Linked DNA regions of Saccharomyces cerevisiae S288C. The protein of the gene in region 1 interacts with the protein of each later gene in a biochemical or structural test. Each region holds a gene or a part of one and is shown on either strand. Other genes may lie near its edges.

Region 1 (3,600 bases):
GGTTCTATCAAGAAATTTATTCCATATTTGTACAACGGTTTACAACATTCTTGTCAAGACATTGGTTACAAGTCCCTAACTTTATTAAAGGAAAATGTCCAAAGCGGTAAAGTTAGATTTGAATTTAGAACCGCTTCTGCTCAACTAGAAGGTGGTGTTCATAACTTACATTCTTACGAAAAGCGTTTACATAACTAATTGGTAACTAGGGTTCATTAATAATAAAATAAAACTAAAAAATATGTGTTTATATTTATTCTGCTCGCAGTTAAGTATGGAAATCAAGAAATAGACTGGAAATGATCTATATTTTCTTCGTATTTTGTTAGTTCATATTATCTCTTGCGGATCGTGACAGTAGCACAAGAATTCGATGTTGCATCTCATAGGAATAAAAAAGAATAAAATGAGATTTATCACAGTTGTGGCTTTTTCTCCGCTCCCTTTAATATTTTTTCGTAGTATTTAATCTTCTCTTGTTCAACCTCCGATAAAGATGGTGGTAATTTTTCATTAATAAGGTCTTCCTTTCTAGCCTTTTCAAAAGTGCTTAGCGTTTCATTCAAACCTTCAGTCCCACGAGCTAGAGCACCACGAGGTAAGACACCGGCATTCATAGTTTTCAAATATTCCACTTTTTCGCTCTCTTCTCTTAGCACCGAAAACATTCTTGAAACTTTAGCAATAGCTAATATCTTATTTCTCAAAGCCTTTCTTCGGGTTTCATCTTCTAATATCGCTGATGACGCCTTTTCATCAGATGGGGTGCCGGTCTCCTTAGTTGCGTTTGCTCTTGCCTTTACAGTCTCCTCCGCAGCTTTGGGTTCCGATTCTGGGTCAAGTTCCTGCTCACTACATATGTTTAATATAGACACTAACATGCTAGTAACTTTTTCGCCAACAAAAGGTAGTGACCAGGTGAAAACATCCATAAAATCAGGCAACCAGTAAGGGTGCGGAGACATGTGAAACTGCCTGATGTTCATGACGTTTTCTTCATATTTTAACACAGCAGCTTTATTATGATATGTGTCCAGGTAGTTTGGCGCACTGAACATGGTTATTAAGCTCGGGAAGCCTGTTACTTTATTGTTTTTATACATTCTGTACCCAGCATCCTGTGCTTCGTGTGCTCTAATAATAGATAACAAACCATTTGCCTTCAAAAACTTGCATGATGCTTTAAAAGTGAAGGCGAAAGAGCAACCCCTCAAACTGTTAGGTACGAATTCATCCTCGCTCTGATCAAATTCGCTACCATCTCTTGCATCATCATAATTTTCGACAGGATCGGCCCATAGTAGGTCACACATGAGACCACGAGATGGGATTTCTCGAAATCTATTAATTTTATTAACATCCTCTACTGATTTTAACTCTGGAGAGATACCACCATGCACACAAAAATATTGTCCGTTCATTAAAGCTGCTAATGGTAAGACATTGAATGATCTGCAGCAAGCATCGTAAACTTCCATATCGTATTTGTGCAACATCTCATTCTTAAAAGTAAAATAAGAGGTCAAGTGCTTACACTCATGGTTACCTCTTAGCATCCAAAATCTCCCTAAATTATTCAACTTCAAGGAGTACAAATAAATCAGACACTCAAAAGAGAATGCACCTCTATCAACATAATCCCCCAAGAATAAATAGTCGATTTCGGCGGGGTCACCGCCAACTTCAAACAGTTTCAATAAATCATAATACTGCCCGTGAATATCACCACATATAGTAATTGGCGCTTTGAGTTTTAGTAGATTGGGTTCTTTACTCAATGCTACAGTTGACATATTTAAGATTTTTATGGCCTGTTCCTTAGAAAGTCGACCCTCATGAAAGAAATGCTCTCTTAAAAAGGAATGATTAGGTAATCCCGTCTTGGAGTCGAATACTTCCTCATCACTTGGTATCTTTCCTGTTATGGCAGGTACAGAAGCGATAGGTCGGTCCTTAGTAGAAATTACTTTACCGTTTTCTAATTCGTATTTTGTTAAATCTTTTTTCCGGTCAACCTTTATGTAAGAGTCATTAGGTTTAATGATTTTGATGCGTGAAGAATTCAAGTCTTTCGACATTGGCGTTGAGAGTGTTTTATGGCAGCTGAGCTAATACGTCAAAAAAAAAAGAATCTAAAAAAACTTTTCTTTGAATAATACCTTTAATAAAGCAAATATTAAAGGCTTTGCTTCGTTCTTTTATAATAATGCCTCTTGATTCAAAAACATTAAAGGATTTATACATTTTTCCCTTTTGTTTCCCAGTAGTACGTTCTTTTTCAGAATTGGAAAATTCATGTTTCAAGAGGCGATGACATGAAAAATTTTGAAATAGATATAGATGAATATCAAAATGATTCAAACAGTTTGTATTTATTGCAACAGGAAGAAAGGTGGAGTCCAAAGAAATCTGCGAAAAATTTTTATAGTGATAATCCTTACGGAACAATGAGCACACAATATATTGATGAGACAGCATTTGTTCAGGCTGAGCAAGGTAAAACCAATCTAATGTTCTCTGACGAAAAGCAACAGGCACGTTTTGAGCTCGGTGTTTCCATGGTTATTTATAAGTGGGATGCGTTGGATGTTGCCGTAGAAAACAGTTGGGGTGGTCCAGACTCAGCTGAGAAGAGAGACTGGATTACAGGGATTGTAGTAGACCTTTTCAAAAATGAAAAAGTTGTTGACGCCGCTTTAATCGAAGAAACGTTACTTTATGCAATGATAGATGAATTTGAAACTAATGTTGAAGACGACTCGGCTTTACCGATTGCCGTGGAGGTCATCAACATATATAACGACTGTTTCAATTTAAATTATAATAAGGTAGAAAAATTGTATTTGGAATGGCAAGAAAAGCAGAGAACTAAAAAATCAAAAAGAGTTGTGCATATTGAGGGTGATGATGATGAAGACGATGAAGATGTAGAGGACTATGATGACGAAGATGAAGATGAAGAGATGGACGAGGTTGTACCTGACTTAGTATCGTCTAAACCTGAACCAATTGTTGACGAAGACGGTTTTGAATTGGTTCAACCAAAAGGAAGAAGAAAGCACTAGTATCTTCAAAATCTGTATATTATAATTGATAGTGCGCTGCTTTTTTGCACTTCCAGTAAGAAATAGCAACAAAATTAGATAAATCTCGGTGGAGTTATCCAAAATATGTAATATATATCAAGAAAGTTACGTATTAAACATTGGACTTCTAGAGGAGATCTTCAATATAGATTTAAAAGGTGGGCAATGCATCGCTACGTGAAGATTTTTACTTTTCTTCAACATGTGTATTTTTTATGTTTCATATTTTTATATTTTGTGTTTGCTAAGGTCTAATCGTTCAGCTAAGTTAAAGCTAAGTATAAGAAGCAAAAAATACTAAATTATACTAAATTATAAATTTTCGTACATAAATAATCATGAGGTAGATGTTTAAATATGTAAATAGTTTCTTTTTTCTTCTTTGTGATTGTCAAAATTTGTGTCTATCTATACAACCCTCTAGAGGTATATCTTAACTGTGTATTATCATCAAATTCGTTATTATTATAATTGTCATTATCGCTATTAATGAATTTAAATTTCTTGAAAAAAG
Region 2 (3,600 bases), on another chromosome or scaffold:
GTGAATCTATAGAATAATCGTTATCTTGCTTCCGTTTGATATTTGAGATAGTTGGAATGCTAGCATCTGCTGATTTAGAATGGCTGAACCCAGGCTTTGGACCGCTAGTATTTTTTTGTTTCGTTACCTCCGGTTCTTTAAACTCTTTTTGCAAATCTATTTCCAAATCGAACATTCTCTTTGCCGGTACAATAAACGTTGGAATCGGAAAATTAGTACACAGTTTATCTGTCAGAAAGTTCGATTTCCAACGAACTAAGCTGTCTGTTCTCTCCCACCTCAAAGTGCTAGATACAAAGAAATCAGGTAAATAGATGTTTATTGCCTCAAGAAGCGTTTTTTTAGTCTTGCCAATTAGGATCTCGACAGTGACCTTGACAGAACGATCTTGCGGAATTATGAGTGTAACATAATCAAAAAGATCTTGCAATTTACGTTCTATTTCGTTCTGCGTATAACCAGATGTCCACTCGATAAAATTTTGGTGCTTTAATTTGTTGTCAGATTCCTCAGGCCCCAGAGAAAGTGCCCTTCTTGTACATATGGATCGTGATCTCGATCTGGATCGTGATCTTCTTGCTGAGCTAACACTCCTGCTATCATCCATCATCATTAGCATTCTTTTTCGCTCACTCATCGAATCATTGTCTTCGAAATTATTCTTAGTCAGGCGGGGCAGGTTTGCCAACACAACAATGTGGTCTGTATTTTGAATCAAAGTTCGTAGCGCCCAATCTAGTGCTACCCAAGTATGTTTCCTGCCGCTGATGTGGCACAATATCGTTCGAGGAGTGTTCGGGAACCCAACCTTTTCGCTCAAAACACGCTCTTTCCGCTTTTGAGACTTAGTCAAAGGCGTAAAGCCGTCTTCTATGGGAGGATTGAATTTTATTGTGGGAGTAGCGCCCTCAGACGACTTTTTTTTGTTTGGAGGAAACAGTATTGTTGGGTAATTGAAGAAATCGCGCTTTTGTTCTAATCGATGATCTATCTGATTTTTCTTCTTGATCCATAGTTGTCTCCAATTGGCATACGCCCTACTAATCACAAGAGCGTCATTGATATCGGTGGGTGTAGTAGGATAGTCTTCCCTTACAATTTTACCATTTTCAGAAATCTTAAACATCTTACCTATTTTGATGTTTCTTTTAGAGGCAGGAGGTGGAGAAGAATACCTGCCGGGACTAGCACTGCCCTCTCGCCTACTCGAATAGCTATTCCCGGAGAAGTAGTCGGCATTGTTGTCCGAGGTAAAGCCACTTTCGTCGTCATAATATTCCTCCATTGTATAATCTGCAGAGATCTGCACGCCAGGAAATTCTCTTTTCTCTTCATCTAAGGGCGAAGATACCCTTGATCTGGGAACTGTGTTGAAAGATACGCATGGTAGGTACTTTTCGTTGCTGCCTTTCCCCTTCTTTTTGACGGAACTGCTCGAGTCCAATATCGAGGCTAGACTGCGCCTGTCATCATTGTTGGACTTGTCCTCGTCCTGCTTAGCGAGTATGTCCACCGTATCCTCCAGCTGGTCCTGCCTGACATACAGCTTAACATATTTATAAGAATTTCTCAACGCCTCATCTTGATCTCGTACCACCATTTCCCCCTATGTTTTAGTATCTTCTGTTCCTTGTACTTTAAAGATTCCTTCCCTTAAAAATAGAAGAAAGCTTCTATTTGTTGATATTGCTTTCGAATAGTGAGTGGACTCAAGAGAAGAAAAAAACCTTTACAAAAATTATATGCAAAATATGTTGGAAAAGACAAAAGGGTTTTAAGTTGTGTTTACTAAAAAGTATATAGATAATTCTAGAGGTTATTGAGACATGCAGAATGCGTGTGCCACACCACCGCAGGTGGGTCATTCGGAAATTGTTCCTGTTGCTGCAGCGTCTGCTGCACTTTTCGCTAGAACTTTTCCAGTCGGATAGGGAGACAAAATGAAAAAAGGCCTCGGACTAATTAACTGACCCTTCGCCAAGAGTGCGAGCCTTAGTATCTAGACGTCTCGCAGGACCGTAACCTTCGAGGAGACCTAGAAGAAGCCACTCGGGCACGAACTCGCCAGGAACACGGTAGTACTTGAGCCTAGGGACGACGAAAATGAGCGTCTCGAGGGCGTGAGTCAGGAACTCGGCAACAATGATGAGTCGCAGCACAAGATCACTATCCAGCCACGCCTCTAAGGTGGAGCCCACAGGATTAGGGACCAGGAAAAAGATAGCGTGCAGTGCAGGACGATAGAGGTAGCACAATGGCGGTAGCGCCACGCCTACCAGGATCAACAAGTCTACTAGAGTGCAGGGGTACTCAACAGTGTCGATCTGGATGAGCGACAGCTTCCTCTTCTCCGCAGCGATGCGGAACATCTTGTTGAAGATTTGCTTGATTCCGGTAGCAGTGCGGGTATCGTTGCCCGTGTCATTGTCAATGAAGTAGATAATCTTCTCGATGTTCTGACCCGTTTCTGTGTGAAGGAACTTGAGCGTAAACGTGGACGTCTGCGTGTCGATCTCTGTCAGTCTGACATGCTTGACGGCCTTGGTAATGGGAACGTGGCCAAAAACGGCGAGACAATCCTCCAGCCCCAACTTGTGCGTATCGTTGATGCTTACAATTAACGAATCCCACATACTTGTGTATACCCGTATACTTGCTTGAGTTGATAGAACGCACGCTCTCGCCGATATAAGCCTCCACTCTTTATATATACCATATCCAAATAGGTGTGCACTTTGTGGCAAGGAGTAATTATAAACGAACAGAATATCCCGACCACATGGCAAGACCAAGAAAGTTCAAGACTGCGCAAGAAACGGCAGAACAGAAGCTGCTCACTAACTTCAACCTTGTAACTGAATTCGTAGGGTTAAAACTCCACCACGTTTGTAGCGGAGCAATGTCGCCTTTAAGAAGTCGCTAGCTATCTCTTTCGCCTCCGTATAGCAATCATTGTCTAATGCAATCCGCCATCGTTATGTCCGCGGCTTTTGTCTGGAGGGCAAATCACGATAGGAAGAGGCATCTTCTGTAGTAAAGGCGTCTGTAGTAAAACCTTTTCTTGGAAGCCATAACAAATCATGGCCACCAATGCCTGGCAAAAAAGGGTGGCATTGAAGGGAAATTTCAAAGATTTTTTTAATAGAGGCCCTAGGAAAAAACATGTCCGTACGTTTAGATACGGTTATAAACTGTACAATCATTTGCTATCAAATGCTGAACCTTCCCCAAGGGACTAAAAGCTGGAAATGGCAGTGTGCTACTATTTCTTTTAGTCGTATATTTAACTCTCGATCTTGCAGGCTATGATGTCCCATATGATGTCCCACATGACGCAAGTAACTTCAAAAAAAGAGGAATTGCGTGGCGGCGTGGATGCAAAAGGATGGGCGTGATGATGGGACTCGAGACCTGGTTTTACTCAATGTTAGTCATATGTATATAGTCCTTATAGGCCCATATTAGAAAGTACATGTCATAGTTACCCTCTGCAGTTTTTCTCGTAGCGGAAGGGGATGGAAATTTTTAACGTAAAAGAAAGTTGGTAAGAGTATGGCACATCAACAGGTAGCGTTATAGGGGCCAAGACATAGCTTTGGG

What was found. The genes of interacting proteins can lie anywhere in the genome.
Region 2: the proteins of CNA1 (region 1) and JIP4 form a complex in vitro, tested with the Saccharomyces cerevisiae proteins (one study listed by BioGRID).

The regions. Positions count from the first base shown.
Region 1 is NC_001144.5:1,003,931-1,007,530, forward strand, and holds CNA1 (calcineurin catalytic subunit A), read right to left. Parts: upstream 2,079-3,600; coding exon 417-2,078; downstream 1-416. Other genes in the region: IMP dehydrogenase IMD3, read left to right, coding at 1-198; TSR2 (Tsr2p), read left to right, coding at 2,448-3,065; ECM30 (Ecm30p), read right to left, coding at 3,491-3,600. UniProt on the Saccharomyces cerevisiae protein: Calcium-dependent, calmodulin-stimulated protein phosphatase. This subunit may have a role in the calmodulin activation of calcineurin.
Region 2 is NC_001136.10:1,408,495-1,412,094, forward strand, and holds the start of JIP4 (Jip4p), read right to left. Parts: upstream 1,601-3,600; coding exon 1-1,600. Other genes in the region: YDR476C (uncharacterized protein), read right to left, coding at 1,959-2,633.